Linked DNA regions of Ovis aries. Each later gene encodes a partner of the first gene's protein in a complex. Links are inferred from orthologs where the notes say so. Each region holds a gene or a part of one and is shown on either strand. Other genes may lie near its edges.

Region 1 (10,146 bases):
TGCAACTAGAGAAGCCTGAGAGCCAAAACTAGAGAACGTCAGTGTGCCACAGTGAAGACCCAGTGCAGCCAAAAAAACACACAGTAGATGAATATGTGCTAACATGGAAATGAGACTTGATGCCAAGGGGAAACAGGAAGCATAAGAACTACGTGCCAGATGAGGAATACTACTCAGCAAGTTTAAAAAAGGATGAACTACTGACATATACAATAACATAAAGCTCAACAACATTTATATTAAAAGAAGACAGAGCTCTTTCCCATCTTGTAAGATGGCGGGTGAAAAGGCTGAGAAGCCAGATACTAAGGAGAAAAAACCTGAAGCCAAGAAGGCTGATGCTGGCAAGAAGGCTAAAAAGGTGGAAAAGGTGAAGAAGGTTAAGAAGGGGAAGCCCCACTGCAGCCGAAATCCTGTCCTGGTCAGAGGAATTGGCAGATATTCCCGATCAGCCATGTACTCCAGAAAGGCCTTGTACAAGAGAAAATATTCAGCACCTAAATCCAAGGTCGAAAAGAAAAAGAAGGTTCGTGCTCTTGCTACTGTCACAAAACCAGTTGGTGGCGACAAGAATGGTGGTACGCGAGTGGTCAAACTTCGCAAAATGCCTAGGTATTACCCTACGGAAGATGTGCCTCGGAAACTGTTGAGTCATGGCAGAAAACCCTTCAGTAAGCATGTGAGGAAGCTGCGTGCCAGCATCACTCCTGGGACCATTCTGATCATCCTCACTGGGTGCCACAGAGGCAAGAGGGTCGTTTTCCTGAAGCAGCTGGGCAGTGGCTTGCTACTTGTGACTGGGCCTCTATCCCTCAATCGAGTTCCTCTGCGTAGAACACACCAGAAATTTGTCATTGCCACCTCCACCAAAATCGATATCAGTGGTGTGAAAATTCCGGAATATCTCACTGACACTTACTTCAAGAAGAAGAAGCTGCGTAAACCCAGACACCAGGAGGGTGAGGTCTTCGACACAGAGAGAGAGAAATACGAGATCACAGAGCAGCGCAAGGTTGACCAGAAAGCTGTGGACTCGCAAATTCTGCAAAGAATCAAAGCTGTCCCTCAGCTCCAGGGCTACCTCCGCTCTGTGTTTGCTCTCACAAATGGAATTTATCCTCACAAAGTAGTATTCTGAACTTCTTGCAAAGAACCTAATTAAATAACTTGTCATTTCAAAAAAAAAAAAAATTAAAAGAGGACAGAGCATTAAGAGTTAATACTAAACACGAGTTCATTTCTATGAAATCCAAATACAGGCAATATTAATCTATGGGTATAGAAAAAGGTGCTGAAGCTGAAACTCCAATACTTTGGCCACCTGATGCGAAGAACTGACTCATCTGAAAAGACCCTGATGCTGGGAAAGACTGAAGGTGAGAGAAGAAGGGGACGACAGAGGATGAGATGGTTGGATGGCATCACCAACTCAATGCACATGAGTTTGAGTAAATTTGGGGAGTTGATGACGGACAGGGGGGCCTGGTGTGCTGCAGTCCATGGGGTCGCAAAGAGTCAGACACGACTGAGTGAATGAACTAAACTGAACTGAATAGAAAACATTTAGTGGTTACAGGAAGATGGACTAGAAAGGGCACAAGGAAACTTTCTGGGAGAATGGAAATGGTTTATCTTATTTTGGATGTTAGCGACATAGGTATACAGTTACTAAAACTCAAGGTTAATTAAAAGGGAAAAATATTTTAATAAACCTTTCAAAATATCCACATTTATCTGAAAGGCTTATTAAAATATTCTTCCTTTTTCAAGCTAAATATCTGATGTGCAAGGCCAGATTTTATTCAGCTGAAAGAGCCTACTGCAACAACTGAATGCAGAAGCAGCTATGAGAATTCAGCTGTAATCTATTAAGCCAGAATTAAAGAGATCTGTAAAACAATACCACTTTCCTCACTCATTTTTGTTTTGGAAAATATGGTTACTTTTTCATTAAAACGTTATGTATGTTAATATACAATGGGTTTACTTTTTGTTACTTTTAAATACATAAGTATTTTTTTAATTTCTAAAGTGGTAAATATGAATAGATATAATACATATAAACAAAAGCTCTGCAGGAGTCTCAATTTTTAAGAGCATAAAATGTTCTAAGGCCAAAACTGCTACTCTAGCCATTGTTATTGTTTAGTTGCTAAGTGGTGTTCCAACTCTTTCAGGACCCCATAGACTGTAGCCCGCCAGGCTCCTCTGTCCATGGGATTTCCCAGGCAACAATGTTGGAGTGGGTTGCCATTTCCCTCTCCAGAGGATCTTCCTGACCCAGGGATCGAACCGGTGTCTCTTGCTTTGGCAGGCAGATTATTTACCACTGAGCCACCAGGGAAGCCCTACCGTACTCTAGCCATATCACGTTATTTTCAATTCCTAAATATCATGTGATGTTTGTCTCCCAACCATTGCATATTCTTTTCTCTCTGCTTTGTACACTCTCATCAATCTCCTTGGCTAATTCCCATTCAACACTCAAGTCTTGGTTTAAACATCACTTCCTCCCTGGTTGCTCAACCTGGGATTAGGTATCCCTCCCATGTACTCCCATAGTACTCTGTCCTATATCGTAATCCTATCCTGTGATTGACTGCTTATTCACATGCCTATATTACTCACGAAATACCTGTGCACTGGGACTAGACCTTGTTCACAGCTAAATCCCCAGGGCATATGTGAATATTTATTGATAGAGTAAATTAATGTAATATTCATCATAACCAATGGAGTATTATTATTTTCACAAGAAAACTGAGGCTCAGAGAAACGATGTGCTCAAACAAATTCACCTAGAAAATCTGAGCTGACAACTATATTCCAAGCCTTTCACCTTCAAACCCTGTCTGGAATAGGTAGAAGAGTTTACCTGGGAACTAATGGCATACTTCAGGTAAGACAGGATGAGAGGATTGGGGGAAGGTCCAATCATGGCCTGCTCCAGTAGCGCTTCTGCAAGGAGAATAACAAAGGAAGACTCAGTGGTACAACATTTCTGGGTTTAGCCCTCCCATCCTTCCTTCCTACTTCACTTAAGACCTGCTAGGTTGAGAATGTCCCAGGTGGCTCCTTTGGGAAAGAATTTCTTCATGTTGACTGCCCACTGGTAGTCACTCCATCGCTCCTTCCAAGCTTGCAAAATGGCTTGCTTCAGGTTCACCACCTTCATGATTTCACTCTGAGGAGACCGGGCCGGTAGCAGTCAGCCTTGAGGTTGGAGAAATCAAGCTAGAGAAAGGGAAAGGGATTCTGAAGGAAAGAACCCAGCGGGGAGATGGGGGTGGAGCGCAGACTTAGATGGAATGGAGTCGATATAGGAAGATTCAAGGGAAGTAGAACTACAAAGGAAAAAAAAGGGGAAAGGGGCAAAACAGGGATCCTATTAGGTTATTCCCACCTGAACATTCTTTAAACAAGAGCAGTAAGAAGAGAGTGTCAAAGGGGCTTAATACAAAGAATAAATGGGCAGTAAGGGGTTAAGCCAGTTCCGGTTGCCTAAATATGCCCTTAGCTCTGGCTGCGTCCCTCGGCCATTACTACCCCAAATCCAGATTTCTCCCCCTACTTCCTCCACCCTCCCCAACCCTGAAACTATAATTCCCTATTTCCTTCCCATCCATCACCTCCCCAAATTTAAGCCTACCGGACAATCTAGTTCTAGATTCTAGGTGTCGCCATTTTGGCACTTATGAAAGAGCTAGCTTTCTATTGGCTGACAGTAACAAACATGAGCCAATAGGAAGGCAGCGAGACACCGGTCACACCACTATGTCTTCTGGGAATTGCAGTTCCTTGGACTCAGCTAGCGCGGAAGCTACGAGAAGCTAGTCAGTCGGCATTGTTTCTCTCCTTGAGGGAAAGCTGAGTAGGAGCTGAGGATCTCGAAGACTCAGGAAGCTTAGGGAGAAAGGCTCTCAAAAGGCGTACGGCAATTAAGTTTCTTCCAGTGACATCATTGTCGACCGAGCATTTAAATCAAATTCTGACACCCTTTCATTGCCCGCTAGTTAGTAGGCTCAACACGGGTGTGGCATGAGTTCATCCATAGGTTTTCTCTTTCCTGGCTTTTTTTCCCCTCCGAAACCCCCGGATTTCCCAGAGTTGTTCTCCTTTCCGCAACTATGTTCCAAAGCAACACTGAGTCTCTATCAGCTGAACACACCTTACCCACCCCTTAACCCTAAAATGTTCTCTCAGAATCTCCTGGCCCAGCCAACTGCTTTACTAAGGGAGAAGCAAGGAGGAAACAGCTTTAGGAAATCGAAGATAAGAAAAGTCTAGGAACCTGTCACAATCAAGAGGGCCTAAGGAGACATGATGACTAAATGTAACTTGCTATCCTGGATGTGATCCTTAAACAGAAGAACCTTAGATGAAAACTAAACAATCTGAATAAAGCATGGACTTCAGCTAATAATACTGTATCAATGTCAGTTAATAATACTGTATCAATGTCAGTCATTAATTGTAACACCTACCATACTAAGTAAGAGGTTAAAGGGGTAGGGATTGAAAGTGAGGTATATAGGAAACCTCTCTATCTTTAATTTTTTCCTATAAATCTAAAACTAAAATTCTTTTTTAAAAAATGTTTCTTAAAAGCAGTATGATTATGGCAATGACGACCCTGTATGCAAGACAGGAAAAAAGACACAGATGTGTATAACGGACTTTTGGACTCAGAGGGAGAGGGAGAGGGTGGGATGATTTGGCAGAATGGCACTCTAACATGTATACTATCATGTAAGAATTGAATCGCCAGTCTATGTCTGACGCAGGATACAGCATGCTTGGGACTGGTGCATGGGGATGACCCAGAGAGATGTTATGGGGAGGGAGGTGGGAGGGGGTTCATGTTTGGGAAAGCATGTAAGAATTAAAGATTTTAAAATAAAAAAAAATAATAAAATTTAAAAAAAAAAAAGCAGTATAATTAGACTTCCCTGGTGGTCCAGTGGTTAAGACTCTGCCTGCCAATGCGAGGACATGGTTTTAGCCCTGATCTGGGAAGATTCCACCTGCCGAGGAGCAACTAAGCCCATGGGTCACAAATGCTGAGCCCAGGCTCTAGAGACCAAGGGCCACGATCACTGAAGCCCACAGGCCCCAGAGCCCACACTCTGCAATAAGAGAAGACACCGAAGTGAGAAGCCCACAGACCACAACTAGAGAGTAACCCCCCACTCACCTGAACTAGAAAACGCCTATGCTCAGAAACCAAGATCCAGCACAGCCAAACATAAATTAATTACTTTAAAAACATGATGTCTTGCTCTAACCTATGGAACCACATTATAGATAATTATGTCCAGTGTTTGCAGTATTAGCCTTTTTCCAACCCCCCTTCCCCAGTTAGAAGCCAAAAGTAAATGCTACCCACCTCTGACTCCAACAGCTGAGCCTCTCCACACACAGCCCTCATCCCTGTCCTGCCCTGTGGACAGATCGCCACTAACATTTACAACCAGAACTACATTTACAACTGGAACAAGGCAGTGTCCTGCCAGCCCTATTTTCAGCCCATACCACAAGGAGCCTCAGATCCCCATCCATGAATCCAAGCTCCATCGATATTTCCCAATCCCCATTCTTTGGTCACCCTTTAAGTGTCAGACTCAGTTCTCAGAGGGATGAATCTGGAAGAACAGTCCCCCTCAGACTCTGGAAGCAAACCTGCAGCTCTCCGGGCAAAGAATGACAGAATCCTGGGTGTCTGGAGCATAGTCTAAACAGGGAGACCAGAACTCCTGTTCTGAAGAGGAGAGTGCAGCTGGAGGAGACCCAGATCACATCCCTCTAAGGTCATGACTGCCTTCAGCTTCCTCCTTCCCCATAACCCACCCACAGCCCCCTCCATTCTGCTCCCTTTAGTGCCTGCCCAAGCGACACCGCTGGGGAATAATGTTTATACAAAACAGCTGCCAAATATGTGTAGCCAAAGCTTCCAAAGCAGGAAGGAGGGAGAACCTAGACTTCTCACACTTGACCTCCAAACTCCCCTCAGCCACACACATCGAAGCCGGCTACAGACCCTGTTTCTCAGCAGTCTCTCATGTACCTGGCTTCCCTGCTTCTCCCAGGCCCCCAACTCTACCTTCGCCCGCCTCCCTCCTCTTATTCTTTTGCTGTCACTGCAGCTCAGGGCTTCCCACCTTGACACATTCATGCATCCTGCAGCTCCACTCCCATCCCACAGAACCCAAACTGTCCTCTTAGAAAAAAGCTGTCAACCTTGTGACTGCTCCTGACTTGGTCCACATGGGAGTGGAGAATGTTTGGGCCCTGAGAAGAGTGGCATTCTGAACTCAGACCATGCCCTTCTGGCAGGAAGCTAGCAGACCTCTGGGGAGGGGTGCCTTCTCCCCCACTTTACAGTGGCAGAGAGGCAGCTTTTGTCATGAGAGCATCTGCCTTCCCTGTCCCCCACCTCTCACCAGCAGCTCTTTCTCTTGGTTTGGCAGGGTTTCCCCAAGGACTGGACTTCTAAGAATTTAAAAGGACACCCTTATTTATTTATTTATTTATTTAATTTCGGCTGTGCCGTACAGCTTGCGAGATCTTAATTCCTTGACCAGGGATTGAACCTGGGCCCTCAGCAATGAAACCATGAAGTCCTAACCACTGGACTGCCAAATAATTCACTAAAAGGATTCCCTTAGTTCTGGGTAAGGGCTATTTGCAGTTTTTCTACTTTGTCCTCTCTAGTGTGTCAGCTTCAGAGACTGCCTTTCCATACCCCACCTCTTTCCCCGAAACCAGAAGAGCTTCTAGGGCCCTGCAGGCTCTCTGACTTGCCCTCCACAAGACCGGCATTCCATGATAATCCTCCAGTGGGTGAGAGAAGAGATGCCAATATCCTCTTTGGGAGTAGAAGGAAACCCTCCCCACACACAGTCCCTCTCAAATATCCCTCTTCTTTACTCCACTTTCCTGGGCTGTCTGTTTCTTCTCTCTCAGCACCGATAGAAGCTGAGCTCTCACTTCCACCCTCTTAGCCCCAAGGTCCAAGCGCTTCATTTTGCTGGCTGGGGAAGGGGACTGGCTGGAGAAGAGGGGCAAGTAAAAGCCAGCCAGCCAGGTAGAACTTCCCTGGTGGTCCAGTGGCTAAGACTCTGTGCTCCCAATGCAGGGAGCCTGGGTTTCACCCCTAATCAGGAAACTAGATCCCACATGCCACAACTAAGAGTTTGCATGCCTCAGCTAAAGATCCCACACGCTGCAAGTAAAGATCCCATGTGCTGAAACTAAGACCCAGCGCCCTCAAATTAAAAATGAATAAAAACAAACAAACCAAAAAAGCCAGCCAGGCAGAGTGACACGGCAACACTGAAGGAGTAGCTGAAAAGGAACCAGGTTGGAGTGGGGACTTGCGGTGGGGTAAAATGCTATGAGGAATCAGGGTTTGGGTACCCAAGGAGATGGGAACACTCCTCATCTAGGCTGGAAAGAAGTGTAGGGAAAAATGGCAAGTCTAAACCAAGAAACTCTGAAATACTTGGTAAGCACTCAAGGCACAAAGGGTGTCATCATCCCTTCTGTCTATAGGGAAGAACATTTTCCTTTGGAAGCTTGCCTGGGTCCCCCCACTATGGGGAGTTAATTGGCAGCAGGTGGATGGGAAAGAAAGCAAGTCATTCCCACACACTCCACACTCTGTACACAGCTGGCTCCAAACCAGTTCCCTCCCCTTACCCGTCCCCACATTAAGCTCTCCACTCGCTGTCTATCTGGGAAAGGGGAGGATGGAGAAGACTGCAAGGTGGTCCCCCCTTAGGGACAGTTCCTGGATCCCCCCCAGTTCTGCCTCTGTCTTCCCACTGGCCCCAGGAGAGGTCCAGAAAGAGGCCAGCCAGGACAGTGAAAGGCAGAATCTGAACCTTTGAACCACTGAACCGCTCTGAACCTCAGAGTGGTTTCTTCTCTAACATCTGAAGGATGCCTTCTCTCTCCACACCTTCCAGCAAGGAGGAGAAGAGAGTGCCGTGATCCTGAACCCTGGACAGGCCACTGCTCCTCCCTTCTGGCTCTGAGAGCCACTCTGTCCTCTTGACCTCCACAGCTGCCTGTGCCATCTCTCCTTTAACTGGAGGGGGAGGGCTGTGGTGTGGCAGGTAAAGGAGACTGCCCCCCACCTCTTCTCCTGGCAAAGCAGGATGAAGGGGTTCCAGGTGGGAACCTTCTGAGACCAGAAGCTGGAAACATTTAGGGGATCTGATACTTGAGATGTATTAAAGGTTTGAACAAAATTAGAATAAGCTCTGAAAGACAACCTGGAGAAGGTGTCAGCTTCTTTTTCTACTTTTACCCTCAGATACCAAAGCAAGGCTCAGCCAGGCCTGAGTCCCTTCCCTGGCTCTCTTTTTTGTGACCCATAAACAGGGCATCTGATGGGACAAAGGTGATTGATAGGGAGCAATAAGTGGTCACTTTACTCTTAGTTGGGCAACTGTTTGCTAATTTCTCAGTCTCTCATCTCTGCCAGCTGCTGATCCCCAAATTGCATAAACTGACCTCCTTTTGTCTCCTCCTTTTCCACTATCTTTTCTTGATTAAAAAATCAGTAAGAGAGAGAAATACTTAGGTTTTATGTTCTCTTAGTTGGTGATACCTCAAAATCCCATGGGAGGAGGAGCCTGGTAGGCTGCAGTCCATGGGGTCGCTAAGAGTCAGACACAACTGAGTGACCACTTTCTCTTTTCACCTTCATGCATTGGAGAAGGAAATGGCAACCCACTCCAGTGTTCTTGCCTGGAGAATCCCAGGGACGGGGGAGCCTGGTGGGCTGCCATCTATGGGGTCACACAGAGTCGGACACAACTGAATCGACTTAGCAGCAGCAGTAGCAGCAGCAGTTTCTTCTTTCCAGAACTCTCCAATAAGTGGGGCTGTATCTGCAGAGTCAGGGGGTGTCTCTTAGACACCTTGTCACTTGCTGACATCACCCAGGGCCCAGGAGGTCAAAGGGAGACAGGAAGGGGAATTACTTAGGCCCAGGCCACTGAAGGGCTCGTTCATTCCAGGGCAGGATGACGGAGGCCTTGTCCCTGTTCCTCCAAACTGTTTGTAGATTCTTGGTGGGAGTGGAGAATGCTGAGTGGGGCCTTGGCTTCCAGGATTTGAGAGAAGCTCTTTAGAAAGCTATCTGGATCCCCAGGTTTCTAGGGGTGAGACCCTTGATCAGTCCTGGGGTGCTTCCTAGCAACAGTCTGAGAGGGAGAGAAGGAATGGAAGAAAGAGAGGGAGAGGCCTGGGCATAGCTGTTCCGATGGGAGCCCAGAGAACAGGCTGTTCTTGCTGCCTCCTTGGTAACCAAAGTCTAAGAGGGAGGGGGCTGTCAGACATATCCCTGCAGGGTCTCTATCCCTCCTCACTTGAGCCCCACCCTTCTGCTCTCCCCTTGGACTCAGCCCTGAAGAGGTGGCAGGGATGGGAGGAGCAGCCTGGATAAGGATTTCGTGACAAGGAAGGAACACGCTGGGGATGAAATGACTCTGAGATGAGCTAGAAGCTTTGAGAAATGGGGGTAGGCAGGGTGAGTGGGGTGGGAAGGGGAATGACGCAACCCAGGGCCAGGGTCTGTAAGCGCCTAGACTTGGGCTGGATCCTGGCATCTGGCAAGATGCCTGCTTTGGAGGCAGTGTGCCCTTCACTTTGCCCTTGTCCAGGTCTGTTACCAGCCCAGGTCGGGAGTGAAGGAAAGTGAGAGAGGTAAGGAGAAGGTAGGTCGGGTGGACTTTCCTCTTTGAATTCAAAGTGCCTACTCAGGCCCTGGGGAAAAACAGATAGAGCAGGAGGCACTTCATTATCTATGGCTCTGGGTCTGGGATTTCATAAAGTCTCCCACGTCCAATAACTTTAGGGCCTTTCATTAGAGAGATGTGGTGGGGAAGCCAGAATGGAGGGAAGAGGAAAACCATAGTGCTTTCACCTTCCCGCTCTGGACTCCATCACCCTGCCTTAATCCTGACTGTCGTTAGACCTCTTCACTGCCTCTGGTTCTGGCTGATGGAGGCAGAAGATACAGTAGCTCATCTCATAAATATGTCTTATGCATTGAGATTATCTCCCAGCTCCCTGGGCAACCCAGTCCCAAAGGACTGTTTCCACACATGGCACAGCCTGCACCCTGGGCACTGCACA
Region 2 (9,918 bases), on another chromosome or scaffold:
AGATAGATGGGGAAACAGTAGAAACAGTGTCAGACTTTATTTTTTTGGGCTCCAAAATCACTGCAGATGGTGACTGCAGCCATGAAATTAAAAGACGCTTACTCCTTGGAAGAAAAGTTATGACCAACCTAGATAGTATATTCAAAAGCAGAGACATTACTTTGCCAACTAAGGTCCGTCTAGTCAAGGCTATGGTTTTTCCTGCAGTCATGTATGGATGTGAGAGTTGGACTGTGAAGAAGGCTGAGTGCCGAAGAATTGATGCTTTTAAACCGTGGTGTTGGAGAAGACTCTTGAGAATCCCTTGGACTGCAAGGAAATCCAACCAGTCCATTCTGAAGGAGATCAACCCTAGGATTTCTTTGGAAGGAATGATGCTAAAGCTGACACTCCAGTACTTTGGCCACCTCATGCGAAGAGTTGACTCACTGGAAAAGACTGATGCTAGGAGGGATTGGGGGCAGGAGGAGAAGGGGACGACTGAGGATGAGATGGTTGGATGGCATCACGGACTCGATGGACGTGGGTCTGAGTGAACTCCGGGAGTTGGTGATAAACAGGGAGGTCTGGCGTGCTGTGATTCATGGGGTCGCAAAGAGTCAGACACAACTGAGCAACTGAACTGAACTGAACTGATGTTAAAAAAAATAACAGAAAAATAGGCAAAAGATGAAGAAAATGCAAATGCTGAATAAAAGCAAGAAAATATTCAGAATAATACCCTGCTAAGAGCAAATTTTTAAAAGAATCCTTTTTGAAACAATTCCATTCACCATTGCAACAAAAAGAGTAAAATACCTAGGAATAAACCTACCTTAGGAGAGTAAAAGACGTGTATAATGAAAACTATAAGACAATGATGAAAGAAATTAAAGATAACATAAATAAATGGAGAGATATATCATGTTCTTTGACTGGAAGAATCAATATTGTGAACGTGACTATATTACCCAAAGCAATCTACAGATTCAACACACTACCTATCAAATTACCAACATTTTTCACAGAACTAGAACAAAAAATTTTACAGTTTGTGTATGGAAACACAAAAGACTCTGAATAGCCAGAGCAATCTTGAGGAAAAAAAAATGGAGTTAGAAGAATCAACCCTCCTGAATTCAGACTATACCACAAAGCTATAATACTCAACAATATGGTACTGGCACAAAAACAGAAATACAGATGAAAGAAACAAGAAGAAAAGCTCAGATAAAAATCCTCACACCTATTGGGCACCTTATCTTTGACAAAGGAGGCAAGAATACATAAGAGAAAAGACAGCCTCTTCAATAGATGGTGCTGGGGAAACCAGACAGTAAACTACATGTAAAAGAATGAAGTTAGAACACTTCCTAACACCATACAAAAAAAAAATAAACTCAAGATGGATTAAAGACCTACACATAAAGTCAGAAACTGTAAAACTATTAGAGTAAAACATAAGCAAAACACTCACTGACTTGAATTACAGCAAGATCATCTTTGATCCATCTCCTAGAGTAATGAAAATTTAATAAAAAGAAGTAAACAAATGGGACCTAATTAAACTTAAAAGCTTTTGCATAGCAAAGGAAAATTTTTACAAGGTGAAAAGACAACCCTCAGAATGGGAGAAAATAATTCAAATGAAACAACTGACAAAGGATTAATTTCCAAAATATACAAGCAGCTCATGCAACTCAACACCAGAAAAACAAATAACCCAAAGAGTGGGCAGAAGACCTAAACAGTATTTCTCCAAAGAAGACATACAGATGGCCAACAAACACATAAAAAGATGCTCAACATCACTCATTATTAGAAATGCAAATCAAAACTATAATGAGGTATCACCTCATACCAATTAGAACGGCTATCATTTAAAAATCAATGAACAATAAATGCTGGAAAGCCTGTGAAGAAAAGGGAACCCTCCTGCACTGCTGGTGGGAATGCAAACTGATACAGACACTACACAGAACAGCATGATTCCTTAAAAAAACTAGGAACAGAACTGCTATATGACCCAACAATCCCACTACTGGGCATATATCCTGAGAAAACCATAATTGAAAGAAACACAAGTACCCCAGTGTTCATTGAAGCCCTTTTTACAATAGCTAGGACATTGAAACAACCTAGACGTCCACTGACAGATGACTGGATAAGGAAGGTGTGGCACATATACACAATGGAATACTACTCAGCTATAAGAAGGAACGCGTATGAGTCAGTTCTAATGAGATGGATGAACCTAGAGCCTATTATTGGAGAAGGCAATGGCACCCCACTCCAGTACTCTTGCCTGGAAAATCCCATGGACGGAGGAACCTGGTAGGCTGCAGTCCATGGGGTCACTAAGAGTTGGACATGACTGAACGACTTCACTCTCACTTTTCCTTTCATGCATTGGAGAAGGAAATGGCAAGCCACTCCAGTGTTCTTGCCTGGAGAATCCCATGGATGGGGGAGCCTGGTGGGCTGCCGTCTGTGGGGTAGCCCACAGACTGAAGAGACTTAGCAGCAGCAGCAGCAGAGCCTATTATACAGTGAAGTCAGAAAGTCAAATATTGTATGTTAATGCATGCGTATGGAATCTAGAAAGATGGTACTGATTAACCTATTTGCAGGGCAGCAATGGAGACACAGGTATAGAGATCAGACTTGTGGACACAGTGGGGGAAGCACAGGGAGGGACAAACTGAGATAACAGCATGGAAACATGTACATTATAATATGTAAATGTACCATATAGATAGCAAGTGAGAATCTGATGTGTGACACAAGGAGCTCAACCTAGCGACAACCTACAGGGGTGGGATGGGGTAGGAGATGGGAGGGGAGTTCAGGAGGGAGGGGATTTATGTATACCTGTGGCTGATTCATGATATATTCATGATTCATGATTCTGATATATGGCAGAAGTCAACACAATACTGTAAAGCAATTATCTTCCAATTAAAAAAAGAAAAAAAAGGCAAAAAATCCCCACATATATGTAAAATAGCTAATGAGAAGTTGCTGTATAACATGGGGAGCTCAAATCTGGTACTCTGTGACAACCTACAAGTGTGAAATGGAGTGGGGGTCGGGGGGAAGGTTCAAGGGAAAGTTGACATATGTATACTTATGGCTGATTCACAGTTGCCAATTAAGCGATTATCCTTCAATTAAAAATAAATTCTAAAAAAGGATCCTATCCATATAAGACTATCAAGATTTCAAATACTCCATCACTTAACAAACAACACTTTCTATGTGGCAGGTGCTGGATTCCAGCACAGATCACACTCTACCTTTCAGCTTCTTCAGAGTGGTCATGCCAATTTTACAAGCAAGCTCTTAGCTAATCTGGCCCTGCAGGGAAGTCTTCTGCAGTGGAAAACATCCGTTGCCCTGAGGTCCCACTAAACACCATCACAGCCACCATAACACTCTAAGGTGGCAAGCCAGTATCACCAAGAGAATATGGGGAATTCTCATACACAACTGATAGGAAACAAATATGCTTACTTGGAATTAATGTGACAGTATCAAACACTGTAATGCTGATTTCTTTGACCCAACAATCCTTTTTATTATTTTATATTGAAGTATAGCTGATTAACAACACTGTTGCTGTTGTTCAGTTGCTAAGTTGTGTCCAGCTCTTTGCGACCCCATGAACTGCAGCACCTCAGGCCTCCCTGTCCCTATCTCCCAGAGTTTGCTCAAATTCATTTCCACTGAATCAGTGATGCTATCTAATCATCTCATCTTCTGCCTCCCCCTTCTCCTCTTGCCCTCAATCTTTCCCAACATCAAGGTCTTTTCCAATAAGTCAGCTCTTTGCATCAGGTAGCCAAAGTATTGGAGCTTCAGCATCAGTCCTTCCAATGAGTATTTATTGTTGATTTCCTTTAGGACTGACTGGTGACCCAACAATTCTATTTCTAGAAATTTATCCTACAAAAATATTGGTAGAAGTACACAAATCTGTGTATCAGGATATTTAATGCAGCACTGTTTGAAAAGAGCAGGAAAAGCTGGAAATAACCCATACCTTCATCCATACCTTCACCCATATGAGGCCTTGGATAAAATGTCTATATATACACAATATGGCCACTAAGAAAAAAAGGGGTGAAAGTACATGGAATGGAGGGTTATAAATACTGTGTACTGGTTCATTTATTTACAACACACTTATGATAGTTGCAAATAGTTATAACCAATGTTTTAAAACTTTCAAAAATTCAGACTTTTCAGTCTATGAATAATATTCCATATTCTTCAGATTCTTCAAATGTTAACATTTTCCCTCATCTGCCTTATTGGTCTCTCATCTCTTTATCTAAAATACTTCAGTGGGTAGACCCAAATAAGAATGTCCTCTTAGAACCACATAATTAACAAAATCAGAGAATTAGCAATCATCTGGTACTTCAAAATAAATTTCATACAGCCTAGGTTTCACCCCTTCAAGCCTTTTCAGATTGGAATTCCTGTTTTGTGCTTCCCAGAACCTTGTGTAATCCTCTACTTAAACTGCCAATCCCCAAAGGGCAACTAAATGACAGGTATCATTGTTTTATATTCTCTTTTACTTAAGCTTCAAACTAATTCTATGAGTTACTACTACTATCAATTTCATTTTAGAGATGAGGGTCCCAAGTCTGTCTCACCAAGAAGTATCTGTAACCAGATCAAACGGCCAGGAAATGGCATAGCAGGAACTCTCAACCTTGCCTGTTATGGTTGCACAGCACAAGCTCCTTTAAATCAGTAAACAATGAAGCATCTTAGAGTACAAATGGAAACTGACATACAACAGAAATCATGTTTGTTTATACCACTTCTCCAGACTAAACTTGTCAAAGGCAATGGAGGTTTTTCCTAAGACATGCGTCAAGCATCAAAGCTGATTATCAGACTCAAGATCATCTTCTAGTGTTTGTTCCGTTCTGACGGATTTAACCCAAAAAAGAAAGGTATTGTAGGGTCTTATCTCCAGACGTTCGACTCGTTTATCTACTGTAAACGGAGCTGCTGGAATGTAGCTTTAAAACCTCCCCAGAAGATCTAATGAATGACGCCTGGGACCTACCTCCTTCCCCGTCTCCCATTAAATCTTTTGATTTCAGGAATGCTCCCTGAGGAAGAAGGGCGAGACTGGTTAGGGACAAGGCCAGAGAGAGGCCAGAAGACGTGGCGAGGCCACACAGCTCGGTAAACCAGCGGAGCGGGTCTAGAACTCAGGTGTGCCAACCTCCGGCCGGGCTCGGCCTCCCCCCGGAGGCGGCCTAGAGCCCGCCGCGCAGAGGGTACCTTCCCACGAGAGGCCAACTACCCCCACCCACCCCTGACCCCGGCTTCGCGAGCTGCGGGGAAGGTCGCGCTCTCTGAGGAACGCCGGAGAGGAAGGCGGACGAACGTACTCAGCACCAGGCCTCCCCGGACTCCCAGCCCTCCCAAAGGAAGCAGCGGGGTCCGGAAAAAGAAATGTACGAGGAACTGAGGCCCAAGCCGTCGCCGCCCACTTACTTCAGCTCTGGGCTTACACTAGCAGCCGCCTTCTCCACCTCAAGCCGAAATCCAACTTCCGGCCTCCACTTCCAGGAAGAAGCCACTGATACTGTCCTTTGATTGGCTGGAAAGAGCTGTCCTTTAACCGAGGCTCTAGTCCCGCCTCTGTGACGGTTGGCTCACCGTTTCGCGGGCGCATACTCCCTCTCCCCAGCCACCCCTTTCCTCCTACCTTCCCTCTGGCACCTCCCACCCTTCCGTGATTCTGCAGCAGCCACAGGGTTTGGGGTCGCGAAGAATGTGTTACTATTAAAAGTAGCTATTCTTTGCTTTCTTTTTCTATTTTCCTGAATATTCGCTGGAAGGACCAATGCTGAAGCTGGAGCTCCAATACTTTTTCCACCTGATGTGAAGAACTGACTCATTGGAAAAGAGCCTGATACTGGGAAAGATTGAAGGCAGGAGAAGAGGGTAACAGAGGAGGAGATGGTTGCATGACATCACCGACTCAAAGGACATGAGTTTGAGCAAGCTCCTGGAGTTGGTGAAGGACAGGAAGGTCTGGCGTGTTGCAGTCCATGGGGTCGCAAAGAGTCAGACACGACAGCTATTTAATATTGTGAAAATCAAGTCAGTATTTGGATACCAATTATCTGAGGATCCAGTAAAGTCCACCCCTTTGTGACTGTCTGTATCAGTCTGATACTGGATGTATCTATTAATCATCTTTTAATCTGTAGTTTCTTTCCTCTACCTCATTCTCCCCCACCCACAATCAATTTATTTGTTGAAGAAGTTTGTTCACTTTTGAGCATACCCCAGTCAGGCTTTTCTCCATTGAGACCAATGTTACATAAATTGTGACCTCCAGTGGGCATTCTTTAGTCCTCATCTTGGTCTACTTTCAGCAGCATTTGGCACACTTGATCATTTGAATTGCCCCCGGACTGAGTTCTCCTCTTAATGTCATCCAGGTGATAATACTCAAGTGGTATCTAGATCCTGGCAACACCCTGTCCCTTGCACTCAGACCCTCTTAACCAACAGTATTACACATCTTTATTCGACTGCAAAGTCTCCAACATAACAGTTCATCTTCACTCCTCTTTCTCCCATACTCTATTCAAAATTAAGGTATCAGTCTTTTGTATTAGTTCTATGTGGAAATAAGTAAAAGTTCAAAATATTAATTTTCACCATCCGCACTGCCTCCATCCTCATCCATGCCACCATAATCTTCCCCTGACTTCTGAAATAACCCCCTAAATGTCAATAGTTTCCTTGCTTCCACTTTTGTCCTTCCTTAGCCTATTTAAGAGTTGGACATGACTTAGCGACTGAACTGCAACAACAACAAAGCCTATTTTATCATACTGTCTTAAAATATGACTGATCTGGCCACTCTTAAAGTTCTCCAAGGCTTCACATTCATAATAAAATCTAATGTCCTTACCATGGCCTATAGGAAATGCTACAAAAATCTAGTCCTTGGCTACTTCCCCAATAATACTTCCTACCATTTTTTTCTATGCTCAATCTTCTCCACATACAAGGTTTCTTTTTTTCCCCTGAAATTTTCAAGTCTACTTCTGCCTAAAGGCCATTGCATTTGCCTAGGACTCTCTTTCCACAGATATTCACATGCCTCACCTCCTCACTTCATACAGGTTTCTGGTCAAATGTGACCTTGTCGGATTGGTCTTTCCTGGATACTCAAAAGTGGCATGCCCCAATCATTTTCTTGGGGAATGTCCCTAATTTCCTTACTATGTATTATCTGTCCTTCATAGAATGTGTTACCATCTGATATCATATTATGTAGTATATGATTTGTTTACATTCATTGTCTTTTTTTCCCCATCAAAATAAAAGATTCATCATCATAGGGTCTTCGGTTCATTCACTTCTGCATCAGTACCTGGAACAATACCTGGAATTGGCCAGTACTCAATGAACGTCCACTGAATAAGTAACAAAATGAATATAATCATTTTCAAATGAATTCACAGTGTGACATCAATGGATAAACCAGGGTCTATATAGCCAAAGCCTGTTATGTGAAATTATCTTCCTTCCAACTCTTACTATTGTGAATATACTGGATGAGTACCCTAGTTCTTGGTGCACATGTATATGTTTGTGTACCTGTTCAATGTTTTCCTTGAGATAAATTTCTAGAAATGAAATTTTGGACCCAAAAGTTCAGTGTCTTACAGTTAAAGGGAGGATCAAGGCTAGAATCTGGGACTCTTGACTGTTAGTCTAGTGTTCTTTACAATAAGCTACAAATGAATAATGGTGTAAAATTCACATCATGAGAGGAACTAGTGAAAATATGGTGTATAATAGACATTCGCTTATGTGGCTACACCTGGAATCTGAATGGAAAATTTCTCTCTTAAAGGTGCCTTTTCTAGCTTAACAAGGGCTGTGAAAGTCGCTCATTTGTATCTGACTCTTTGCAACCCCATGGACTATACAATCTACGGAATTCTCCAGGCCAGAATATTGGAGTTGGGTAGCCAACCCAAGGATCAAACCTAGGTCATCCACATTGCAGGCAAATTCTTTACCAGCTGAGCCACCAGGGAAGCCCAAGAATACTGTGGTAGGTAGCCTGTCCCTTCTCCAGAAGATCTTCCTGACCTAGGAATTGAACTGGGGTCTCCTGCATTGCAGGCAGATTCTTTCCATCTGAGCTACCAGGGAAGCCCAATAAGGGCTACACCTGTTGAGTAAGTCTTTATTGCATCTATTATGCCAAGCACTGTTCTGGATGGTAAAAATGACAAACAAAAGCTTTGCCTTCTCATAGAGAGATACAAACAGCAGCATACAAGAAAAAAATAATAATTCTAGTAGTGATAAGTTGCTATGGAGAGAAAAATAATACAAAATAAAGTGATAGCTATGTAGGTGGATGGGTAGCTACTTTCTAGAAGGTGATTGGGGTAGCCTCTGCTAAGAGGTACTTTGGAGCTAAGACGAGTGATGAGAAGGAGTCAACTGTGCAAATATCTTGTAGACAGCAAGTGTGAAGAGTCTGAGGCTGCTGTGATCCTCTGAGTTAGACAGGAAGGGAACCCATGTGTTTCACAACTAAGAGCAAAAGGAGAGTGGGAGGAGATGAAGGGGCAGTTACGGGCAGGAGTCCATGGTAACTAGCATCTTGGCTGTTTTTAGGAGTGTGGCACATTGTAAAGAATATCATTTTTATAATTTTACCCTAAGTGGCAAGCAGAAATAGTCACCCTCTTTCTACACCCTGTCAATTTTTTTAAGGTTGTTTGTTCTTCAGTTGCTCAGTCATGTCTGACTCCTTGTGACTCCATGGACTGCAGCACCCCAAGCTTCCCTGCCCTCACTATCTCCCAGAGTTTGCTCAAACTCATGTCCATTGAGTTGACAGGTTTATTGAGTCATAATTCACATAAAGTAAAATTAACTTCAGGTGGACAGTTCAATGAGTTTTGATTAATATATTCTGCCTTCTAAACACTATCGCCAGAATCAAGGTATAGAATATTTGCATCATCCCAAGCAATTCCTTTTGTACCCCTTCAGTATTCATTCCCCTCCCTCATCCCTAGCCCCTGGTAATTGCTGATCTGATTTCCATTCACATAAGTTTATCTTTTCCAGAATATCGTATAAATGGAATCCTGTAGTATGTAGACTTTTGTGTCTGACTTCTTTCACTTAGCTTAAAACTTCTGAAGTCCATCAGCATTGTTCTATGTATTAATAGTTTATTCCATTTTACAGAGAAGGAGTATTCTATCGTATGGATGTACCATAATTCATTCATCGGTTGATGGGCATTTGGGTTATTTCCAGTCCTATGTATCACATACACATCTTTGTATGGACATAAAGTTTTCTTTGAATAACTAAGGGATTGCAAGGCCTTATAATATAGGTATATATTTAACTACATAAGAAAGTGCCAAGCAGTTTTCTATAAAAGATACATTATTTTTCATTTCTACCAGAAAACTATAAGAATTTCAGTTACTCTGTACCCTGCTCTGCTATTTTCCTTTTTGTGATGCTACTGGCTAAGTAGTGGTTTTAATTTGCATTTCTCTAGTGTTGAGTATCTTTTTGGTACTTATTTGCCATATGTATCTTTTCTTTAGTGAATGCTCTGTTAAAAGTTTTTGCCCATTTTTTAAATTCAGTTCCGTTCAGTAGCTCAGTCATATTCAACTCTGCAACCTCATGGACTGCAGGACGCCAGGCTTCCCTGTCCATCACCAACTCCCAGAGCTTACTCAGACTCAGGTCCATTGAGTTGGTGATGCCATCCAACTATCTTATCCTCTGTCATTGCCTTCTCCTCCTGCCTTCAACCTTTCCCAGCATCAGGGTCTTTTCCAATGACTCAATTCTTCACATCAGGTGGCCAAAGTATTGGAGTTTCAACTTCAGCGT
Region 3 (9,971 bases), on another chromosome or scaffold:
AAAGGATAGGGGACTCTGACTATTTCCCAGATGAGAGCTGAACTGGCTTCTGAGAGGATGGAGAGTAGAGCAGTCCCAAGCTTCTCCAGAGTTGTAAGTGGATGGTCTGTCTCAGCCCGGAGGCCTCGTCACCTGCAGCCTGGAGAGATGGCCAGGCTGGAATGTGGGAAGCAAGGCCTGTGGAGGCAGCGGGCCTCTAAGGACACAGAAGCTGTCACCATCTCTGGCAGCACAAAATAAACACAGGCTTTCAAACAAAGCTGAGCGGTCCACGATCTTGTGTCCATCAGCTCACCACAGACACGAAGCAGTTTCAGATCAGGGCAAGTTCTGGATCGAGGACCGAGGAGGGGGCAGTGGGGAGAAGTGGCTGTAGAAACTCTCATTTATTGAATACTCATTATTTCATAGATTGTGCTAAGTGTTTTACATCATTTTCCCATTTTAATCCTCACAACAACCCTATGAGGTAGGTATTATCATCATTTATAAACCAGAAAACAGGCTCAGAAAAAGTAGGTCACTTGCCCAAGGTCACACAGCTAGTTGGCAGTGGAGATGGGATCTGTCTGTGGCCGAAAGCCTGTGTTCTTTTCATTGTACCCATCCAGGTCAGCTTTGGGCAAAAGGCAGTTTCACTGCCCAACTCTGAAAAGAACACCTGGGAGTGGAGGTTGCCACTCACACTCACCGCTGGTAGGGATGCATGGAAGCCGACTTGATGTTGGTTTTTATCCCACTTGGCATTTTCCCTAAAAAGAACACGAAGAAAGACACCTGAAGCACAGTCAGATGTTCGTCATAAATCAGAAGTGTTGCCTCCCAGGTTCCCTTCTGTCATCTCCTCCATCAGCTCAGAATCTGTGGCATCTGACCTTGGGTGACAAGGCTCAGAGGTACAGCTCCCTGCCCAGCCCTCTACCTGAAGATGGTCAGGAGGAGGAATAGCGGGAAGGGCTGGAGCACATCCCTGCAGGCTCTTGCTCCTCCCCTAATGGAAAAAGAGAGCTGTCCCTTTGCCTAGACAGCTTGGAAGAAAATATTTCTTCTAGCTGCTTATATCCGAACTCCTCCAGACTGTTCTGATAATTACTAAGTGAGCAGAAGAGACAGGATACAGAGCAAGGAATACGCGTAGCACTGGAAAACCTGCCTGCTTGTCAACTCCCAACACATCTACCCAGTGATCCTAATACCTAGGGTGAGACACTGACAACACACCCACCCAGAGTTAAAGGGCACAGAAGGGTAGCTAAGGGCAATTTTAGTCGAAGTTCTTTCTCATTGTCTGGTGTCTATTAACAGAGTCTCAAATGAGACTTTCACTCTCAAGAGTTTTTTTCTGGGTCACAGTCCAAGGAGAAAAGGAGAATGTCTCCAGCCCTGGGGATGGGGTGAGGGGGAAGTGTGGCAGATAACCCAGTTTATTCTCACATCCCTGCTCAAGGTCTGTCACCAAGCCAATCCTTGTCACCTTACCTGGCTGGCCTGCTTGGGCCATCTGCACCCCACTGAGCATTGGCTGCTGCTGATTTGGCGCTCCTGCTATCTGCACCTGCTGTAACCCTGAGGCTCCTGCGAGGACTGTTCCAGCTCCCGGCTGGCCTGGCTGGCTAGGACCACTGCTGCCTGAAGGCCTCCAGTTAGACAGCCCCTTTCCAAAGGCAACAGCTGCCACTAAGGCGTTGGTATCTGCCGGGTTAAAGGTCTGCTTGTTCGGCCGGAGACCTGAAGGGCAAAGTAAGTGGAGACCCTGAGGTATGCCTCTAGCCCTGGACTTCTTCTAGCACCAGGAAGACCAGTATGAGTGCCAGGGCTTGGAGTTCTGACTTCGGTAGCATCCAGACTTCCTGGCAACCCAGAGGAAGAGCCAGAGGACCCCCATGACTATCTCAGAATTCGCCCTTCTCCCTTTGCTCCTTTCTCCACCTGCCCCAGTGCTGGCCTGAAATATAGAAGGCCAACAGAATAGATGCATACCCTTGGCTAAACAGCACATCCCTGCATCCTCATTTCACCACTACCAATACCACCCTTCCTATTCCAGTGATCTTATCCCTCATTCCCCCATCACTTTGCCACCAATCCCTCCATACCTCCACTCTCTGATTCTCGTTCCTCTTTGCTGATTTTCTCCAGGAGGTTTGAGCACATTTTGTTCAAGCTCTGGATCTGTTTCTGTAACACATGTAAGTTTGTGCAGAATTTAGGGCAAGCAAGAAATGATTACAGGAAAGGTTCTTCCTTGAGCTATTCCAGGGGCAATGGAGGCATAACCAACTGCCATACCCTACAATAGAGAAGTGGGAATACTCAGCCTCTTATGGTAAAACTCGAGGGTGTAGGGCAGCAGGGCAGGGACTCGGTCCAACCTGCGCTGCGTCAGCACCAATGCGAGCAGCATCCGTGGTGAGCTGCTTCTCTTGCTCTTCAACCTCAGGGTCAGGCTTGGTTCTCAGATGGTCAGGGACCACCTCGTGGCTGAAAACAGGTACCCGTCCTTCAGTCTGCCTCTGTAACACACAGATTTTATGATCCTACTGTGCACTCCAAGAAGATTCAATTTTGGCCTGATATACACATAGTTCCTTCCACAGGCAAACAGTGCACTTTCAGGGAAAACATAACCTGAGACTAATAATATCTGGCTTCCTAAGACACTATTCCCCTCATTCCATCCTTCAACTCTATCTACTCACACCCTGTCTCTACCAGATCTAAGGATAAACCCTTCTCTACCACATTTTAATCAAAGATTGAAATAGGACAGAAGGACAAAAAGCAAGGCCTCCAAAATGTAGCCCCCACTTATTGCCACACACTACTGCATATTCAAAATTTCTAGATAGAAACCAACCACTGTGCTGTCAGTCCTCATTTAAGGGCTTTGTTTCCTAAGCTGCATCCCTCTCCTCCTCTTACCATGAGATCTTCATCTCGGTCTGGGGACAACACCAGAGGGATGATGACCTGGTTGCGGAACAGTGGTGTCTTTTCATGCTTCAAGACCTTGTTCAGAGTGTTCAGCTGTCCAGAAAGCAAGGCAAAGCTGTCCAGGACAGATGGCCTGGTGGTGGTAAGAAGATGTCAGCATGTTCCTGGTAAAGGAGCCTCAAAGGGGTCCCTCGGACTAGGAATAACCAGACTCACCCCCAAAACACTCATAGCCCTATGCTGGCCTGGGCAGGAACTAGACTGGCTCGCAGGGATTATGGGGTTAAGAAAGAGGGATACACTTTGAGTTTCTGACACAGATGGAGAAAAAAAACAGGTCATTATAGCAATCCCCACTTATCCTAAGTTTCACTTTCTGAGGTTTCGTCTACCCGTGTCAACCACAGTCCAAAAATATTAAATGATAAATCCAGGAAATAAACAATCCATGTTTTTAAATTGGGAGGTGTTCTGAGGAGTGTGATGAAATCTTGCTTCATCCCACTCTGTCCTACCCAGGATGTTGATCACCCCTTTGTCCAGCATATCCATACCGTATACGGTACCCACACAAGTAGTATAGAAAAAAAAAAACAACAACCCACAGTATATACAGAATAGGATTCAGTACTATCATAGTTTCGGGAATCCACAGTGGGTCTTAGAACTTACCCCTGATAGATCACGAGGAGCTACTACATTTGAATGGGGTGAGGACAATGGCAAAATAGGAACGATGGCTACACTATTATCACTAGAACTTCAGAAACCGGGTGAAAGATCCCTTTCCAGATCCAAACTTTCCTAGATTGGACCTAAAAGACTTGGCAAAACCCGTGCAAGAAATCCAGTATGAATACTGTGGTGGGAGGACCCACTGCAGGAGGACCTCATCCTGGAGAAGTCAAACAGGGAGAATCAAAAGCTAGAAAGAACCTGGGTTGAGAAATTGGGCATTTCTCTACTACCCTTAAAGTTGAGGTCCAAGGCCAACTTCAGTGTTAAATGTTGGGAAAGCCAGCTCTTTCTAAATCAAAAGATGTTCACAAAGTGATAAATGCTGGAGGAGGTACCCTGTGCAGCAGGTGGCCTAGCCCCCACCCATAGAGCCCTCCCCAGCTTGCCCTGGCAACTCTTACCAGGTCAGCCGGTCATACTCGTTCTCCAGCTTGTAAATGAAACTCCCCAGTGAGTTCTTCAGATCAGCCACTTGACTCAGCAGTGCATCTAATGATGCCTCAAGCTGTTTTTCCTCCCTCTGAGCCAATAGGAATAGGTTGGTTACTCAGCTGAGTGTAAGGATGACACATATAGAGGAAGGCTGAAAAGCCAGGGTGACAGTGTGCAACACCAGGACAGTGACACAGAATCTCATTGGCACAGGGACAGTCAGGCTGTTTCTGTCTCCTGTCAGCCGGGCTCCACCCCTATTTGGAGTTAGGATCACAGACAGCATCAACCCTTAGACCTTAAAACCCATTCATCTGACCTCAATTCCTCTTACCTACTGATTCCTTCCTCTCATCGCTTTTAATCCGGGCGTGACTGTTTCTCTATATTAGGCTTGGTTTGTATCTGTTCTCCCTCACTGGACAATTTTCACCAGACGTAATGCCTGGGATTTATTCTGTTCGGCACACCTCAGCAGCAGACGTACTCTGACGTCCTATGTTCTAGAACCTGCCTTGTGAACCTGGCTGTTCTTGGCAATGACATAATCTCTGAAAACCTACCTATACAGGAAGGCTCCTCTGAATACTGCCACCGTCACCTTCCTCTTCCCTCAGCATTTGCTGTTTCAACCTCCTCCTTGCTAAATCAATCTGCACTCACTTTATTGCTGTGCCAATATTCCTGTGCCCCTTTCGCAAGCTTAGTCAACCTATAAAAATGTACTGACAACTACCCTTCTGCAACAAACAGTGACAAATGAAAAACAAAACAAAACAGCAACCAAACCGCACATGCCCCTAAGCACTAGGCAAACTATATTAAAAGCTGAGGGGTCTCCAGTTTTATCTCATTTCACCCTTTAACTACTAGGGGTACACACTAGGAAGAATGAAACAGAACTGCAAAACCCCGAATGTGGAGGACACGAGCCGGGTTCCACCCACGGCCTCAGATTATTTAGTCTGGCTTCTGGCCACCACGGTCCCACAATTCCTTCCACCCTCGGGCTTCTCTCCAGTTAGATCCTCTGTTCTGTCAACATCCAACGTCTAGGCCGGGGCCTGAGCCCGAGCCCAATCCACCTCTTTCTTCAGCCGTCTTCCTTGGACTGCACCTTCCCAAATTTCAACTTGATCCTTTTCCACACCCTATCAACAACTTGATCCTTTTTCCACACCCTAGCAAGACAGTGCTGCCTTCTCCGTCCCAACCTAACCGCAGTTTCTGTCTCCTGTCAGCCGGGCTCCACCCCTATCCCTCTCCAGAGGTCCTCGTCCCCATCGCGCGTCCCTTTATCTCACAGTCGCGGTCTCGACCAAGTCCTCTCATCCCTAACTCCTCACTCTCTCCTCGGCCAGCCCACTTTCTGTCTCGTTACCCCAAGCTAGCTACCCGTCGCTAGCGCCAAACCGGTCCTCACCTGCATTGCTGCGGCGGGGGGCGGTGTCAATCACTTCCTCTTCCGGTTCCCAAGTAGGCCAATTAGAAAGCTCAGAACTCGACCCTCCCACTCACTTCCGGCCCCGCCAGTCGCGAGACCTCCGGGTCAGGGGTCAGGAGCGGAGCATCTTCTCTGGCCCGGGCCGGCGCGGGAGGGCTGTGTGATGGCCTCGGAGCGCCCGGAGCCGGAGGTGAGGGGCGGGCGGGCGCAGCGCTGGGCCTGTAGATCCGAGGGGGAGGGTCCGGCGGCCAGGCGCGGCCGTGGCCTCCTCCGGGTCTGGGGGCCGCCTGGCCCTCCTGAAGGCCCAATAGTAGCATCTCCTCACCCCTACTTTCCTCGGGGAGGCCTAGAGGAGGAATTCGTGGCTCAGTTTTGTTTGCCGAAATTTAATCCACGATTCTCTACTCTAGGGCTCTTGGGTTCTTTGACCTCGTAATGGCATTCAGAAAATCTGTATTTTGATCTTCTGTTGCAGTTTCAGTGGGCAGGTTTGCCGGTTGCTGCCTCATTCAAATATTATTGGAATGCCATAAACAGCATAAATTAATTAGGTTCTAGCGCTCATGCAATTGGAGAGCAGCTTAGATTTCATGAAAAAACGTTGGATTCAGAGTGAAACCTCGTTCTGGTATTGGCGCTGCCCTGTAGCTATCTGTGCAACTTTGGGCAAATCTTGACTTCCCGGATCCTGTTTCCTTCTTTGTAAAATATCTATCTTCAGGTCTATTGTGAGGATCACACGTTTTAAATGGGAAAATGCAAATGAAGCATCCATTAAGTACGAAGGACCATGCAAGGAACTTTTGTATACATTGTGTGGTTCAGACTTGTGCAAGGAAGGTGACAATACCCATTTCCATATACAGACAAACTAAAAATCGAGGGAAGTGAAGTACCTTACCCAAGTGCTACTCTCAGCTGGGGAGTGGCAGAGTTTTGTAATTAGAAGTCTAAAATGTCAGATTTGGAAAGAAAACATCACTAGGAGAGTTGCCCAATGTTACAGGAGAACATGTGAGTGGATGGGAAGGGTGAGAGGTGTATAATCATGTATTGAATCCTTACCTATCGAATGCTTACTGTGTCCCAGAGACCATCTTAGCGCTTTACCAATGTCAAAGATTACTCTCAACCCTACACAGTAGACACTTATCCCCATTTTTCAGTTGAGGAAACTGAGGCACAGAGGTTTTAAGAGTAACAAAGTTGCACAGCTAGTAAGTGGCAGAGCCAGGACTCCAAAACAGGTGGTCCCTTGTGATCTTGTGTTCTTAGCCATAATGTTTACAGTGCAAAGAGAAAGTAGCCACAGGATGGTAAATCTCCAGTGCTAGGATTTGATGTAATGAGATCCAAGATTAAATACAACTGTAGGAAACTACCCTATTAAAAAGGATCAAATGTGCTCACAGGGCTGGTGGAGTAGCCTAGGCATCAGAAATACCATTACTGAGGAATACTCAAGGAATTTGGAGCATGTTTTGTGGATTAAAATGAGAAGACATGGAGGGATGTTGTGAAATACAACAAACCTTTCATGCAGATGGTCTAAAACAGCATTATCTAATAGAAACCCAATGCAGGCCATATATGCCAGTTTTTTAGAAGCCGCTTAAAGAGGTTAAAAAAAATAGGTAAAATTAATTTATAATATATTTTATTTAACCCCATATTTCCAAAATAGTGCCATTTCAACATGTAATGAATATTAAAAATTATGAGATATTTAACGTTCTTCTTTTGTACCAAGTCTTTAAAATCCAGAGTGTATTTTACTCTTAAGCATATGTCACTTTGGGCTAGCAATATCTCAAGTGCTCAGTAGCCACAGATAGTAATGGCTACCATACTGAGCAATGCAAATCTAAAATAACTTGAATCAACACACGTTCCTGGCAGTCTCACTCAACCACAAGTTCATTTGTTAAATTCTTGATTTGCATTTCTGCACATCTTACCCCAGAAGGTAAAGGGAGTGAAGAGTTAAAGTGACTGACTGTTAGAGGTTATTATAATCCCAATAGAGAAAGTTTGGGCCTAGTCAGATTTAAGAAGTCATCGTTCCTCAGATACTTAAATGATGTGTGCTGTTATGGACTTGGAATTGTGCTAAGTATCAGGGTGGATAGGGAGCAGTGTAAGACACTCCCTATTTTAATGGGGTGAACAAACATTGGATTATAATAAGTGCCTCAGAGGAAAAGTACAGAGCGAGTGAGTGTTTAACAAGGGTTCTTAACCTAATTGTTAAGTGAAGTGGGTGGATCCTAAAGCCTTCTCAGAGGAATGACATTTAAGCATGGAGGAGTGGAGGGTGGCAGTGAGGAGAGGCAGAATACATTGCAGGCAAAGGAAAATTGACAATCTGAGGGGAAGGAGGAGGAGAAGGCAATGGCAACGCACTCCAGTACTCTTGCCTAGAGAATCCCATGGACGGAGGAGCCTGGTAGGCTGCAGTCCATGGGATTGCGAAGAGTCAGACACAACTGAGCGACTTCACTTTGACTTTTCACTTTCATGCATCATTGGAGAAGGAAATGGCAACCCTCCAGTGTTCTTGCCTGGAGAATCCCAGGGACGGAGGAGCCTGGTGGGCTGCCGTCTATGGGGTCACGTAGAGTCGGACACGACTAAAGCGACTTAGCAGCAGCAGCAGAGGAGGAGGTGTGAGCCTTCAGAGAACTTAGAGGAAGCAGCTGCTCATGTGGGCTCAGTGACACTGAGAATAGCTAACACAAGTGTTTCCTGAGTCATCATCTACTACTTGGGAAATCCTTGTGAAATCGGCACAGTTATTATCCCTCTTTCACAGGTGAGGAAACTCAGGCACAGAGAGTTTAACTTCACCAAGGCCTTATTCTAATAAGCAGTGGAACCAGTGTGTGATCTCAAACTCAGGGGGAGGTGGGTGAGAGAGAAGACTGGTGAAGAAGATTCAGGTTGAAGCCATGCTTGAAGTTCAGGACTTTGGCATATGTACAGTGGTTCAAGGGCAGGTGAAAACTCTTGTGGAACGCTGTTAACAGAAAACAGCACAGGGTTGGAAAAGGCTTCAAGAATAATTTGTACCTTAACCGCCAAGGGACAGGGGCAACAAACAAAAAAACAAATCAATGAGATGGACTTTGCTCCCTTCATCCTGGCGTGCATAGTGTGCAGCACATGCCTCATGTCTTATTCAGCTTGCTATGGATGGTATGTAGGCCTCAGTGAATGTTCCAAAGAATGATAGGCTTTCTCTATCATTGTCTGATTCTCCGGGTTAATTGCCACAACATCCTTCTGAAGTAAACATTCTTATTCACATGTTACAGATGAAACTGAGGCCTGGAAAAACTGACTTGTCCAAGCTTGTTAAGTAGTAGAACATATTTGAATCCAGGTCTCTGCCTTCAAAACCCTGCTTTCTCTTTGCCAGACAACTCCAATGTACTTCAAACTCAGGAGGATTCAGTATCAGGGATTAAGTCTCCACGTAAGTGTCAGTGCTGTGAGAACACAGCTAACTCAGGAATTCTCAACCAGTGCAGTGGAAGAGTGGCTTGGGGGAGCTCATGAAGTGTAGACTCCTGAGCCCTCTCAACTCATAATTCATTTGGTCTCAGGTGGTGCCCAGGTTTCTGCAGTTTAACAAGCACCTCAGGTGGTTCTGATGCCAGTGGGTCCTTGGATCACACTTGGAAAAATACCGCTCTAGCTGCCTGAATTAATTCTTGAGTCTTTTGGTTTCGATAAATTGCATCTTGAAAGTGAAGAAAACTTAGAGCTAATGTTTGTGAAACGGTAGTTGTTGACTTTGAAGGATGCATACAAGGGGGAATGTTGCGAGAAGGCTCAAGTTAGGAAATGTTCCTGGTTTCAAGAGTGTGGATTCTGTAAGAACTGATTGATGAGCTAGACTTCAGTTTGGCCTTGAAGAGTTAGTCCGTCATTCAAAATAACCTTTGAGACAAGGTGGAGAAACAGAAGCTACACAGTAGTGGAATTAAGCAGCCTACTAATAAATAGTCTGAAGAAAGTCTTCTAATGGGACAGTGCTTGTCTGTACCCTCCATCTGCTGAATCCCCCTTTCCCTCCTCCCTTAGTCAACTCTGCTCAATCTTCAGAGCCACTTTCTCTTAAGACCCACCTCTGAGTCAGGTTACTTTGTTACATGCTCTCATAAAACCACATTCTTATCCTTAGGCACACCTAGTTTGTATTAATATAATAATTAGAGTGATTATCTGATTGGTTTGTTTGGTTTTTTTTATTCTGGGGTAAATTCTATGAGAGCAGAGTATGCCATTTTTTGCTTGCCATCGTATCCTTAGAACCTAGCCCTGTGCTGGCACATAGCAGACTGTCCGTAAATTTGTTGAGTGACAAATGGATGCATGCTCACCTTATCTTTGTCCTCTTTGGACTTGGATAAGAACTTGA

Evidence for each region. The genes of interacting proteins can lie anywhere in the genome.
Region 2: MED24 (region 1) and MED7 share a complex: the UniProt entries of both Homo sapiens proteins name them as parts of the mediator complex. The link is inferred for Ovis aries from reciprocal best matches to the Homo sapiens genes MED24 and MED7.
Region 3: MED24 (region 1) and MED8 share a complex: the UniProt entries of both Homo sapiens proteins name them as parts of the mediator complex. The link is inferred for Ovis aries from reciprocal best matches to the Homo sapiens genes MED24 and MED8.

Annotation. Positions count from the first base shown.
Region 1 is NC_056064.1:40,106,203-40,116,348, forward strand, and holds the start of MED24 (mediator of RNA polymerase II transcription subunit 24), read right to left. Parts: upstream 5,734-10,146; 5' UTR 5,387-5,733; intron 3,697-5,386; exon of another isoform or gene 3,404-3,696; intron 3,235-3,403; 5' UTR 3,176-3,234; coding exon 3,046-3,175; intron 2,959-3,045; coding exon 2,876-2,958; intron 1,167-2,875; exon of another isoform or gene 1,139-1,166; coding exon of another isoform or gene 275-1,138; exon of another isoform or gene 255-274; intron 1-254. Other genes in the region: large ribosomal subunit protein eL6-like, read left to right, coding at 275-1,138. UniProt on the Homo sapiens protein: Component of the Mediator complex, a coactivator involved in the regulated transcription of nearly all RNA polymerase II-dependent genes.
Region 2 is NC_056058.1:66,397,992-66,407,909, forward strand, and holds the start of MED7 (mediator of RNA polymerase II transcription subunit 7), read right to left. Parts: upstream 5,556-9,918; 5' UTR 5,503-5,555; intron 5,112-5,502; 5' UTR 5,066-5,111; intron 1-5,065. UniProt on the Homo sapiens protein: Component of the Mediator complex, a coactivator involved in the regulated transcription of nearly all RNA polymerase II-dependent genes.
Region 3 is NC_056054.1:18,064,400-18,074,370, forward strand, and holds MED8 (mediator of RNA polymerase II transcription subunit 8), read right to left. Parts: upstream 5,556-9,971; 5' UTR 5,534-5,555; coding exon 5,528-5,533; exon of another isoform or gene 4,439-5,527; intron 4,193-4,438; coding exon 4,074-4,192; intron 3,068-4,073; coding exon 2,923-3,067; intron 2,514-2,922; coding exon 2,373-2,513; intron 2,179-2,372; coding exon 2,097-2,178; intron 1,729-2,096; coding exon 1,480-1,728; intron 753-1,479; coding exon 688-752; 3' UTR 368-687; downstream 1-367. Other genes in the region: KICSTOR complex protein SZT2, read left to right, coding at 5,712-5,738. UniProt on the Homo sapiens protein: Component of the Mediator complex, a coactivator involved in the regulated transcription of nearly all RNA polymerase II-dependent genes.